Caenorhabditis elegans: one gene and its partners. Each later gene encodes a partner of the first gene's protein in a complex. Each region holds a gene or a part of one and is shown on either strand. Other genes may lie near its edges.

Region 1 (3,353 bases):
AAAATAAATTTTTTAAAACTCATATTTTTATTATTACTATTATTATTATTATTATTGCAGGCCGCCGCTAGAATTCGAGCTCTGAAGAATAAGCCGGATTATCAAAAAATCCAAGATAAAATCAACGAAATTGTTCAAAAGCACAAAAATGCAGCCGAAATCGACAAAGAACTACACTCCAGTGAAATTCTCTCATCGCTCACAATCACGGAAGTGTTAGTTGAAAACCAAAAAAAAAACACCATATTTTAATTACATTTTGTTTTTCAGTGATGTTCGTTACATGATAGAAAGAAGCAAGACTTTGACGCGTTACTACGAGGCTCGACAGTTTAGAAAGGTAAATTAATTGTACAGAATATTAACCCATTGAAAAATGTTCAGAACGTGGATCAAATCGGATGTCGTGTTCGTCCGATTAAGATCGATTTGGATCCAGAAACAATGCCAACATTTGATCCAAATGATGCTGAAGATGAAAAGCAAATGGTCATTGTGGAGTCGTTGTGCTCTGTAATTCGTGCTCACGACGTAAAAGAATGGGGCACTAAGTTTTGGAATGAACATCGCTTCACAGCGCCGAAATACGCTAAAAGATTTGTGGAGAATGTGAGTCAGAATAGAGAAAATAAAGTTTAATGAAAATTCACATTAAAATTCTCACAGATGGTCATAAACAAGTCAAAAGAAGTCGCTGAATGGTATTTACATGTTAACTCAAAGTCATGCAATCAAAATGATGTACATTGCCCAGCCAAGTCAACTCTTCCTCCGACTGCTGCATCATTCGATCTTCACAAAATGCTTCAAAAAGCCCGTTCTGGATTGAATCGTCTTTCTGCTGAACACTTTTACCCTCTTGATGTCTCTCTGGCTCAACAATTCAACTTCAAAAACGACGAGAGAGAGGGCCTCGACGGAGACAGACGTATGCATATCGGGTTGTCTGATGAGGTCACCAATAGTAAAGAGTATGCGAATTTTTATGTAAGTGAATATATTATATTCTTATTTTTATTTTTGATAATTTTTCAGGCTCGAATGCGTTCGATTCTTCTCGAACCAATGCGTCTTGGAATTGCTCGTGAATCGTCGTCTGATGAAACCAAGCGGCTTGTGCGCTGTCTTGCAGAGGAACGCGCCTGCGATGAAGAACAACAAGTTACCTGTGACCAAATAAGACGACGCCGGATGCCTGATGACGAGATCTATGTTACTCCAACTTCAATCTCTAGAGAACTAAATGTAAAGTTTTTTGCGTTGTCTCCACTGCTAGACGTTGTTTTTTTTCAGAACGGCATGAAAATCGATACCACCGAGTTGTTGGCTAATCTGGACAAGAATTCTGCGAAGAAAATCAGAATGAAAAGGAAGATTGGAGAGGTGAGATGTGACACTAAAATTAAACTTTTACCCCTAGTAATCCTTGCGGTACTATTATCTATATTTTTCTCATAGTCCTCAATGAAACAGTATATTTTTCAGACCGTTGCGACAGTTGCAGCGCGTCCTGCTCGTCCACCGCGTTCATCTGCAGGTACACCCACTCCAAGTCACGTCTCGATCGATACGGAGAGTAATATTTCGCTCAAAGTGGAGTTAGATTGAATATTCTATTATTGAACAATATAACTATTTTACCCAACTCTATGTCATCCTCTCCTGTGCAGTTTTACATCACTTTTTTAAACTGAACCCATTAAAAGTTGATCTCCTAAGATTATTTCACTTTTGTTTTATTAACAATCTCAGCTCTTTATGAACACCATCTGTTAAATTTGTTTTTCTTTTTCTAATAAAATGGTTTTATAGGCATGGGTCGTTTTAGTTTCAATCGATACGGTATGTTTCCATTGGAATAATATATTTAACTCATTTCGTAGTACGGATTTCACCGTATAGGTGAAAAAAGGTCATAATATCAAAATTTTGTAAATTTCTGTAATTTTTCGAAGCTTGAATTCCATTTTTTTTTCTTCAGGCTACAATACAATGCAGATGGAGAGTGTAGAAAGTGAAAAGACGAGATTTGAAGTTGAATGTGAATTCGTGCAGGCTCTTGCAAATCCAAATTATCTTAATTGTGAGTTTATTCACATACACTAGCCGAGAATAGAGAAAAACGTATTTTTATTCTAAGTTTCTTGTTTTTTTATGCACTCTTTTTCCTGCAAATTTCATATTTTCCAGTTCTCGCGCAACGTGGTTATTTCAAAGAAGAATATTTTGTCAACTATCTCAAATATCTTCTCTATTGGAAAGATCCTCAATATGCCAGATGCTTGAAATTTCCTCAATGTCTGCACATGCTTGAAGCACTGCAGAGTCAGCAATTTCGCGATTCGATGGCTTACGGTAGTTCAAATTTTATTTAATCTATCAGAAGAATAGTAACTTATTTTCAGGACCAAGCGCGAAATTCGTAGAAGATCAAGTGGTTCTCCAATGGCAGTTTTATCTTCGGAAACGGCATCGTTTGTGTATGATGCCTGATGAGGGACAAGAGCTTGAAGAATCTGAAGATGAAGCTGATATTCGACAAAAGGACACAGAGGATGAAGATGATGAGGAAACGATGAAGAAACCGGATGCTGACACAGCCGAAAAGAATTCCACAACTTCTACCGTTTCAAAGAAAGAAAAATAAACATAAAAAATGTAAATCAAATAAAACTTCATCACCACTTTATTGAAATTGAAACCTACATTTTACAGAACCGTGAATTTTTTCGAAGCCTGGACAGAAATCAGAGAATATTTGGAAAGTTAGGTTAAGATTTTACTTTCTATTCGAAAATCTTGTATTGGGAACAATTGTAACGTCGTTGACAAATGTCTGATTACGGAAAGCTGTTGTCTCGAGTAGAGTAGAGTCGTCGTTGCTGCATATCTCTTTCTTCTTCCGGCTTGTAGCAGCACGGAATTCAGTTGTAGAAGTGAAAAAATTGATGAAGAAACTACGATAAGAAGCAGCGAACAGATCACGGTCCTCGGGCTTGATAGCGGGGAATCCAACTGGAACAGCACGAAGAACTTCTTCATCGGAAAATTGGAAAGATGTGAAGTCATGACCATCGATTAGTTGATGCTGTCCTGTGCGAACTTCTAGCCTAAATAATTTCAAATGTAATACCATTTCATCTGTATTCAAATTAACAATCGAAGTCTGGTTCGCATGGTTTCTTCACCCCAAACGACATGCACAAAGAATTTGGCTCCAGGAAGAATACGTCGCTGGAATGAGGATGTTGTTGAGGCTGTCGAAAGCGAAGACGATGTACGAAAATTGTTTTCATCGTGAAGATCAATATAAGATGAGTCGATGCGAATGTCAACACGCTTATCCGATTTTT
Region 2 (4,522 bases), on another chromosome or scaffold:
CCTAGGCCACGGCCACCGTACCGACGATCACGTGCTCCGAAGACGGTTGAAATGCTTTAATTGTGGCGGTGACCGTAGTTCGTTCGCACATTTCGATGGTGGCTGGCTTGTCGGCGGATTTCTGGAATTTTTCGAGAATTTTCGGGGAAAAATGGCACAAAAATTGGGATTTTTGGAAAATTTTCAGTTTTTAGACTTGAAAAATGAGAAAATCGGTGGCTTTTTTCAAAATTTTCGCTGAATTTTTCAGATTTTCACCAAAAATATCGATTTTTTGAGAGGTTTTGTAGATGAAATGTCCAATTTTCACCTGCAAAAAGCTCAAATATCGCTCCCGGAGCACAGCTTGTCGCCTCTGTTGCTCTCCTTCTGCTTCTTGTGTGCTCTGGGCCATCTGGAAGTGGTTTTGCTAGGGTTTTAGGCTAGATTTAAGAGAATTTCAGATAAAAAACCATGGTTTTTGCCAATAGAATAGGAAAATGAGGAGTATTAAATTTAAAAAAAAAATCAAATTTTAAATTTAAAAATACCCAAATTCTGGGGGAAAAGTGTAAAAAATGGGCAAAAATACAGAAAACAGTTAAAAATTAAATAAAAAGAAAAAGAGATCACAGTTTTTCGAAATTTAAGAAATTTTGGAATTTTCAAGGGAAAAATTTGAAAAAAAATCGATTTTCTCTGGGAATTTCTAATTATTTAAAGTGGTGGAAATCGATTTTCAATGGGGAAAAATTGGCAACTTTCTAGAAAAATGGGGGAAAATTGAATTAAAAATGATTATTTTTGAGGAAAAAAATTTAAAAAAAAAAAGATAAATTACCCACAATTTTTCAAATTTAGCAAATTTTCAGTAGAAAAAAGGGTAGAAAATCAATTTTGAATGGGAAAAAATGAATGAAAATAAATTAAAATTGACATATTTTAAAGGGTTGAAAAATCGATTTTAAATGGGAAAAATCCCAATTTTAATAGAAAGTCATGAAAGTTTATATGAAATTGAAATTTTCACGGAAAATTAGGCAAAATTTTTTCTGGATTTTAAGGAATTTTCAAGAGGAAATGGACTAGAAAATTGATTTAGAATTCTCAATTTTCCGGGAAAATCGGCCCAAAATAATTTTTTGCTATGAAAATCAATTTTCTCTGGGAATTTCTAATTATTTAAAGTGGTGGAAATCGATTTTAAATGAGAAAAATCGAAAATTTCAAGAAAAATAGGGGAAAATTAATTAGAATTTAACTATTTTCAGGGGCAAAAAGGGATGAAAAATCGATTTTAAATGGAAAAAAAGTTGATTTAAAATCGAAAAATTAAGGAAAAATCACAAAAAAAAATGGAAATCGGCTGAAAACATGGAAAAAAAACATGAAAATCGATATGAAATTGAAATTTTCACAGCAAATTAGGCAATTTTTTCTGGATTTTAAAGAATTGTCAAGAGGAAATGGACTAGAAAATTGATTTTTTTTTCTCAATTTACCAGAAAATCGGCCCAAAATAATGGAAAAATGATGAAAATTACAATAAAAAATCGGCAAAAATCGGCAAAATATAATAATTATTCACTGGGTCTCGAGCTCATTTGTGTCTTTGAAATCTCGGCAAGCTTCTTCTGAACAACTCCGACGAGCCGATTGCTGTCGCCGACGAGTCCGACGAGCTCATTCACTTTTTCTCGCTGCTTTTCGTCGTTTTTTATCATTTTCTCCTCGACTTCCGCTTCCTGGTTGCCCGCTTCGATTGGGAATGAGTCGATGAGGATCTGAAAATTATTTAATTGGTTTTTTCCCGAAATTTTAAGCTGGAAATTGAATTTTTTCGATTTTTAGCCATTTTTCACCCAGAAAATCGAATTTTCAAAAGAATTTCGACCTAAAATTCGATTTTTTTGAGATTTTTTTCAAGAAAATTATTAATTTTGTTCTATTTTTCACCCGGAAAATCGAATTTTCACAATTTTTTTCAAATTTTAACCCGAAAATTGAATTTTTCGACAGAAAATTGGATTTTTTTTGCTGTTTTTTGGGTAGAAATCACGATTTTTTCGGCAAAAATGAGAATTTGCTTAAAATTTTCAATAAAAATTGGATTTTTCTGTACTTTTTTGGCTGAAAATTAATTTTACTGAAACTTTTGTGGAAAGTGGATTTTTTTTAATTTTGAGTTTTTTTAAATTTTAAATTAATTTTTTTTTTCGGCTAAAAATGTGGATTTTTGAATTTTTTTAAAGAAAAATTTCGATTTTTCTTCATTTTTCACCCGGAAAATCGAATTTTCACAATTTTTTTCAAATTTTCACCCGAAAATTGAATTTTTCTGAAATTTTTTGGCTGAATATTGTAAAATTAATTTTTTCAGCCAAATTTTCAGAAAATCCTAAGCAAAAAGCTTCAGAAAAGCAGTTTTTCTCGTTTTTCAAACTATTTTATATTCCAGGAAACAATAATTTTCAAAAATTACAAAAATCCTCATTTTCAGCCGAAAAAAATTTAATTTAAAACTAAAAAAAACTCAAAATTAAAAAAAAATCCACTTTTCACAAAAATTTCAAAAAAAAATCTAATTTTCAGTTAAAAAAAATAGAAAAATACAAATTTTAAATTTTTGTCGGGTAAAAATGAGGATTTTTTTGTAATTTTTTGAATAAAAATTAGGGTTTCCTGGAATTTTCTGGAATTTTTTGAGTTAAAACAGGCTAAAAATAGTTTGAAAAACGAGAAAAACAGCTTTTCTGAAGCTTTTTGCTTAGGATTTTCTGAAAATTTGGCCGAAAAATGCTCAATTCTATAGAAAACCTCAATATTTTTAGCGGCTTTTGCAATTCCAGCGGCAAAAATCGCGCAATTTGGCTCATCCTCAAGCTCCTGTGAAATTGCTCCAAATTCACATGGCGGAGCAGTCGCCTGGAGCACTCCAATCGCATTTGTCATTAATCCGGCCATTTCGTTAATCATATCCTGTAGTTGGGTCATTCGATCAGCCATTTTCAAGAGTTTTTGGGCTGAAAATGAGCTTGAAATGTAGTTTTTAATAAAAAATTGGAATTTTCGTATAAAAATTGGTCGAAATCCTCTGAAAATTCGAGAAAATCAGATAAAAATGCATTAAAATGGAGTGAAAATTCATTTTTTTTTTCAAATTTTTTCCATTAAAAATTGATTTTTTTGAGTTGAAAACCTAAAAATCCTTATTTTCTGCGATTTTTAAGGTATTTTTCTGATAAAAAACCGGATTTTATGCGTTTTTTGGAACTTTTTAGGAATTTACTAGTAGAAATTTGAATTTTTTGAAGATAATTGGCTAAAAAACTTTGAATATTTGAGAAAATCGGATAAAAATTATTTTTTTTCTTCAAATTTTTACCAAGAAAAATTGATTTTTTTGAGTTGAAAAACTAAAAAAAATCCTTATTTTCTGCGATTTTTAAGGTATTTTTCTAATAAAAAACCGGATTTTGTGCGTTTTTTGGTACTTTTTAGGAGGTTTTCTAGTAGACGTTTGAATTGTTTAGACGAAACTTGGCTAAAACTCTGAAAATTCGAGAAAATCGGATAAAAATGAATTAAAATGGAGTGAAAATCGATTTTTTTTTTCAACTTTTTACCATGGAAATCTAAATTTTTTGCGTTGAAAATCCATACTTTCTGATACTTTTTTGGTAGTTTTCTGATGAAAAGTTGGTCGAAAGGCTCTGAAAATCGGATAAAAATGAATAAAAAATGAGTAAAATTAATTTTTTTTTTAATTTTCAATTAAAAATTGAATTTTTTTTGCGCTGAAAACCAAAAATTCTAGTTTTCTAGCGACTTTTTAGAGAGTTTTCTGATGAAAAATTGGATTTTTGGCTTCAAATTGATAGTTTTCATGGAATTTTTGCTGTAAAAGTGTTTTTTTCAGGTAAAAATAGGGTTAAAACCCATTAAAAAAATAGAAAATGGAAGTAGAAAAACATGGAAAAATAGTATTTTATGGCAAAAAAAAAAGTGAGACAAAAACCAGGAAAAAAGGGTGGAAAAGCACATAATTACACTGAAAAAGAAGCCTATTTCTCTGCATTTCTATCACTTTTATCCCAAAACCAATGATCAGAAATCCATCCGGCTCTCTCTGGAGGCCATATTCTCAGGCTGAGCCTTATCTGAACAAGGGCTTCAGGTACCGGGCCGAAATGTCTGGAATCTGTTGAAACTGGGCCGTTGTCACCGCGAAGGAATACGTGACCAATTGGAACTCTGCCAGATGGAAGCAAATGGGAGGTTACTGGATCGCCTTCCTGAAAAAATTGAAAATTTTATGGGTTTTTTTTAATGAAAAATAGCATTTAAATTGGCTAAAAACATCTGAAAATTTGAAAAAATCGGAAAAAATTGAATTTTTCAAGGAAAAATTATTTTTTTTTCGACTTTTTTTGGTGGTTTTGGATGAAAAATCGGATTTTTAAACGAAAATTGGCTAAAAACATGACACTGGGTCGCCTTCCTGCAAAAATTGAAATTTTAGGGTTTTTTTCTCGGGAAAATC
Region 3 (4,782 bases), 6.2 Mb from region 1:
CGGCCATTTATCTTGCTTTGTTTTTCGCTTGTTTTCTTTTGTTTTTCACAGCTTTTTCCCGTTTTTTCTTATTAAAACTGATAAATAAATACTTTTTGCAGATGCTAAAACAATTTCCAACTGAAAAAATTATGTATTCAGTGGGCAAGCAGCTGTGAAAGTGGGCATTGTAATATGATGGATTACGGGAATACAAAACCTAAACTTTTTCTGAAACATGATACATATGCTGCTTAAATGCTGAGACTACCTGATTTTCATAACGAGACCGCTGAAAAAGTTTTGAGGTTTTCAAAATTCAACTTTTTGTGCGAAAATCTCGACTTTTTCACCAAAAAAGTTGAATTTTGGAAACCTCAAAACTTTTTCAGCGGTCTCGTTATGAAAATCAGGTAGTCTCAGCATTTAAGCAGCATATGTATCATGTTTCAGAAAAAGTCTAGGTTTTGTATTCCCGTAATCCATCATATTTGACCATTGACCACTTTCACCGCTGCTTGCCCACTGAATACACTTTTTTTTACTTGGAAATCGTTTTGGCATCTGCAAAAAATATTTATTTATCAGTTTTAATAAGAAAAAACGGGAAAAGGCTGTGAAAAACAAAAGAAAACAAGCGGAAAACAAAGCAAGATAAATTGCCGCTGAAACTTGTCGGCCCCTCGGCCATGGCCTAGAAACCAATTTTCCTCGTCTCTCGTGAGGAAAAAGTTGCAGTGAAATTCTAGATTCTAGCAAAAATCAGCAATTTTTCCCTGAAATTTCAAAGTTCCCGCGCATTTTGAGTCTAATAAAACAGTTTTATCGTAATTATCATCATATTCCCCTTGTTTGACCTTCATCTCTCTTATCAAAAACTACAACATACATATCTTCGTCCGTCTGCGTCTCTCACAACTAGTTATTGCAACAAAAAAAAAAACATTCAGAAGTGGTCATACTTTCATCCATAAATTCGTTTTCTTTTTCTGAAAACCACCTTCAAAATACAGAAAATCTCGTTTTTATCGAAATTTTGGCTTTAAAATAGTTTGAATTTCATTGATTTTTTTATTTTCTCGTTTTTGTAGGGAAATTTTCCTGTATATTATATTTTTAAATAAGTTTCATATAAAATTTTTATAGCTGTATATAAAGGAACATCGAATAGAAAAATAGATATTTTTAACTATTTTCTATAACTTAAAGGTAGAGTAGTCGAATTTTTTAAAATTTCTTTATTAGACTCAAAATTGTCTGAAAACACCGAATTTCATAATGAAATTTCTTGAAAACTTCTCAAAAAAAAGTTATGGCCTCTCGAAAATGGCCTAAAATTAGTGAAAATTTGAAATTTGACCAACTTAAATATCTTTGTCGCAGCAGCTGGAAACAAATTTTTTTTTGAAACTGTCGTCTATTTTTGAGTAAACAAGTAGATTATCTTGCGTTTTCAGTTTTATTAAGGTATTTAAAAGTCGATGGACGAAGAGATTTTTCAAATTTTTTTAATCAATTCTCTTCGTCCATCGACTTTAAATACCATAATAAAGCTTAAAACGCAAGATAATCTACTTGTTTACTCAAAAATAGACGACAATTTCAAAAAAAAATTGTTTCCAGCCGCTGCGACAATGATAAGTTGGTCAACTTCAAATTTTCACTAATTTTAGGTCATTTTTTGAGCGTCATAATTTTTTTTGGAAAAGTTTTCAAGAAGTTTCATTATCAAATTCGGTGTTTTCAGACAATTTTGAGTCTAATAAAGAAATAAAAAACTCAACTACACCACCTTTAAATCAAAATTTCACAAAAAATGGTTTTTTTCTAGAATGTTCCTCCGCGCCACTGAATCAATTCTCGGTTTGGGCCTTCTGGCTTACGGCCTTCTCGAAATCTCGAGAAATCCGACCTGGTGGGCCTATACGCCGGTCTACTTGGTCCCGGCGATCCTCTCCATCATTCAAATTCCACGGAACGCCACGTGGCGCACTCTCTCATCCCTCTCCATCGTCGCCGGCGGTCTCTACACGAGTTTTCTGCTGTGGACGTTCTCCTCTGTGGAATCTATACCGACGATCGATTTGGAAGAAGAAGCCAAGAACCTTCCGCCGGTAATATATTATTGATTTTTATTCTTAAATGATTCAATAAAAATCGTTCCAGGTAGCCCTTGGAGCCCTGCTGATCAGCTTCATCCGTCTCACACAGGATAAGATCTCCCAGCCGGTGCATTATGTCAGATCTTCGATTATTCTCGCTGTCGCTCTCATTAGTTTTTACGCTTTTATTTCATATTTTTAGTTTTCTTTTCCTCTGAAAAATAAATATTATTAGCTTTACAATGTAATTTCCTTCGGAAGTGAGGACAAAATCGCGGTTATCGAATCGCGAAGCTTCGAGAATTCTCCATTTTTCATTAGAGCTAGAGCTCCTGGAGCATCAGTGAGCGGTTGACCGAAATAACCGATTTTGCAGGTACTAATCTGAAAGATAGCTTTATTGTTTTGGTAAAATCCCGTATTCAACGCACTTGATCCTCTGCAACACCAATGTCGATTGTTACATCAGGATTTCTGATTGAAAATCCACTATTTTGAGTTGAAAACACGCAATGTTCTCTGAAAAAAAAATTATTTATAAAATTTTTAATTTAAAAAAAATTTAAAAAAGCACTCACCCTAGGCCTTCAGATAATTGTTGAACTTTTCGAGCAATAGTAGCATCATTATCAATTGGTAAATGCTCTTTCATAAAAACCAGAGAGCCAAGAACGTCGAGACGGGTTCGTGCATCGAGTGTTTGCCTTTTCTCCTGAAAATTTGATTTTTTTTTCAATGAAAAACGGTGGAGATTGCAGTTACCAGCAAATTCCTCCTGACAGATCTCGCAAAATGCTCCCATCCCAGCTTTTCTGCGCTTTGGCGGACATTTTCCATTCGCAAATCTCGATCGATCGACTCCAGGTTTAACTCATGATTTTTCCTCTCTTCAATTATCATGGTAGGTTTCGCTACCTGAAAATCGATAAATATTTAATTATTTGCTGTTTAATAATATAAAAATTGAGAAATTTTAACGAGAAACCCATTAAAAATGCAGTTTAAAATAGAAAATCGGTGCAAAAAATATTTTGTTTTGCTGCGAACGACACTCCGTTATAACGCGGCGCGTGTTGTTTAGCAGGCGGATTTTAGGCCACAGCCACTGGCATCAATTGGCGGGTGTTTGAATTTAGATAATTCGTCTCAGGGTTTAAAACCGGTTTTCTGCAGAAAAAATCGATTTTCAAGTTATATTTTATTAACAAAAATACATCATGTTTCATTAATAATCTACAAACAAAATCAATTTATTCATCATCCTCGTGGTGTCTGGTGCGGTGGCGGCGGAGAGTCTTGATATCTTGATCCCGTTGGGCCATTTGTTCAGCAGCCTGGTCACGGTCACGGCGGTATTCTTTGTAGTTCTGAAAAAGAGAAGGAAATGTGATTTTTAAAAAAAAACGTTGTTTGAGCTCAATTGAGAGGAAAGGTCTTGGCGCGAGCGTTGCAAAATTAAACGTGCGCACGGGGTTCTGGCCTTCCTCATTGAATTTTTCGCGCTCCATTGACAATCGCCTGCCGGAAAACACGTGGGAAAGTACTCCACACGGGCAAATACATTTAGTTTTACAACTAAAATCGAGCCGCGACGCGACACGCAACGCTCCGTAAATCTATGCCAGATATGGCCGAGCCTAAATGACCTAGTTCGGCAAACTCTTCCATTTCAATTTATGAGGGAAGCCAGAAATCCGTGGAAAAGATTAAAAAAAGGAGATTTTCAACTAAAAATACATGGTTTTTTTCTTTAAAAATTCGAAAAATCGATGGCCTAGTTTTTTTTGAGTCCTAGGCCACCTACCAAATACGCCTGGGGTCTCTGCCCATTGCTGGCGCGAACACAGTAGAACAAGTCGTGAAGGCAAGTTGGAAGATATGTCTGTTGAAGCCCAATGTTCACAATATTATCGGCTCTGAAAAAAAACAAGTTTTATTATTAATTTTAAAAAAATTTAAATTTACCTGTTATATGGATAATGTCCACCTTTTGCAAATTTATAATCATTCTCAAGCTGTGCCATACTTGCCGGCCGTCCGTCGAAGAATCCGAGATAAGTTGGTGGATAGTAATTCGGGTAGTACCAGTTACCGAACTGCCCGTAGTCTCTGGCGGTATTCTCATTATAGTAGATATACTTTGGCAGGACTCTCGGCGAGTTTTCGTAGGTCCTCTGGTAGAATGTGTCGGCGACCTGGCGGTTGGTGGTGTCCGCCAGTTTTCCCGGCCCGGGGCCTCCGCCGCTGAAATTGCAGTCCGCGACGAACTGAAAGTTGGGAAGGTTGCACATCATTTTTCGAGTCTCGCAGCGAATTATAACTTAGTCTTGACACGACAATTATCACGTGGTGTCAAAGTGCCCCAAATGCGGGAGAAGAGACGCAGACTTTTAAACTAATTTCGCATAGTTAAGAGTGTGCTGAGAGAAAAATTCCAGCATTTTTTGTAGATCAAACCGTCATGGGACAGCCTGACACCACGTGAATTATTGGTTAAATGGAAATGAACTGTGCGCCTTTAAAGATTACTGTAGTTTCACCGATTTCCCATAGATTTTCTCACGATTTTTCAAAGTTTAAGAGTTTTCATAATATATTTTTATCGAAAAAAAAATCGCTGGAAATTTAGCAACAAAAGTAGATTGTGTCGAGACCGGGTACCGTATTTTCGGTACAAAAATTGCAAGTTATTGCGACTAAC

The links. The genes of interacting proteins can lie anywhere in the genome.
Region 2: mdt-31 (region 1) and mdt-21 share a complex: the UniProt entries of both Caenorhabditis elegans proteins name them as parts of the mediator complex.
Region 3: mdt-31 (region 1) and sop-3 share a complex: the UniProt entries of both Caenorhabditis elegans proteins name them as parts of the mediator complex.

What each region holds. Positions count from the first base shown.
Region 1 is NC_003279.8:8,964,316-8,967,668, forward strand, and holds mdt-31 (Mediator of RNA polymerase II transcription subunit 31), read left to right. Parts: upstream 1-1,798; 5' UTR 1,799-1,814; coding exon 1,815-1,842; intron 1,843-1,981; coding exon 1,982-2,083; intron 2,084-2,190; coding exon 2,191-2,355; intron 2,356-2,405; coding exon 2,406-2,647; 3' UTR 2,648-2,686; downstream 2,687-3,353. Other genes in the region: snpc-4 (snRNA-activating protein complex subunit 4 homolog), read left to right, coding at 61-215, 271-340, 385-609, 667-987, 1,036-1,245, 1,294-1,431, 1,486-1,608; spd-2 (Spindle-defective protein 2), read right to left, coding at 2,780-3,110, 3,158-3,353. UniProt on the Caenorhabditis elegans protein: Component of the Mediator complex, a coactivator involved in the regulated transcription of nearly all RNA polymerase II-dependent genes.
Region 2 is NC_003281.10:11,776,107-11,780,628, reverse strand, and holds mdt-21 (Mediator of RNA polymerase II transcription subunit 21), read right to left. Parts: upstream 3,009-4,522; 5' UTR 2,986-3,008; coding exon 2,797-2,985; intron 1,764-2,796; coding exon 1,560-1,763; 3' UTR 501-1,559; downstream 1-500. Other genes in the region: C24H11.5 (Gem-associated protein 7), read right to left, coding at 22-121, 311-394; immp-1 (Peptidase S26 domain-containing protein), read right to left, coding at 4,044-4,274. UniProt on the Caenorhabditis elegans protein: Component of the Mediator complex, a coactivator involved in the regulated transcription of nearly all RNA polymerase II-dependent genes.
Region 3 is NC_003279.8:2,773,102-2,777,883, forward strand, and holds the start of sop-3 (Mediator of RNA polymerase II transcription subunit 1.1), read right to left. Parts: upstream 3,001-4,782; 5' UTR 2,982-3,000; coding exon 2,844-2,981; intron 2,794-2,843; coding exon 2,660-2,793; intron 2,601-2,659; coding exon 2,513-2,600; intron 2,466-2,512; coding exon 2,323-2,465; intron 2,321-2,322; exon of another isoform or gene 2,284-2,320; coding exon of another isoform or gene 2,146-2,283; intron 2,094-2,145; coding exon of another isoform or gene 1,812-2,093; exon of another isoform or gene 1,811-1,811; intron 1-1,810. Other genes in the region: Y71F9B.1 (uncharacterized protein), read left to right, coding at 1,812-2,093, 2,146-2,283; Y71F9B.13 (NADH dehydrogenase [ubiquinone] 1 beta subcomplex subunit 7), read right to left, coding at 3,332-3,448, 3,886-3,997, 4,047-4,348. UniProt on the Caenorhabditis elegans protein: Component of the Mediator complex, a coactivator involved in the regulated transcription of nearly all RNA polymerase II-dependent genes.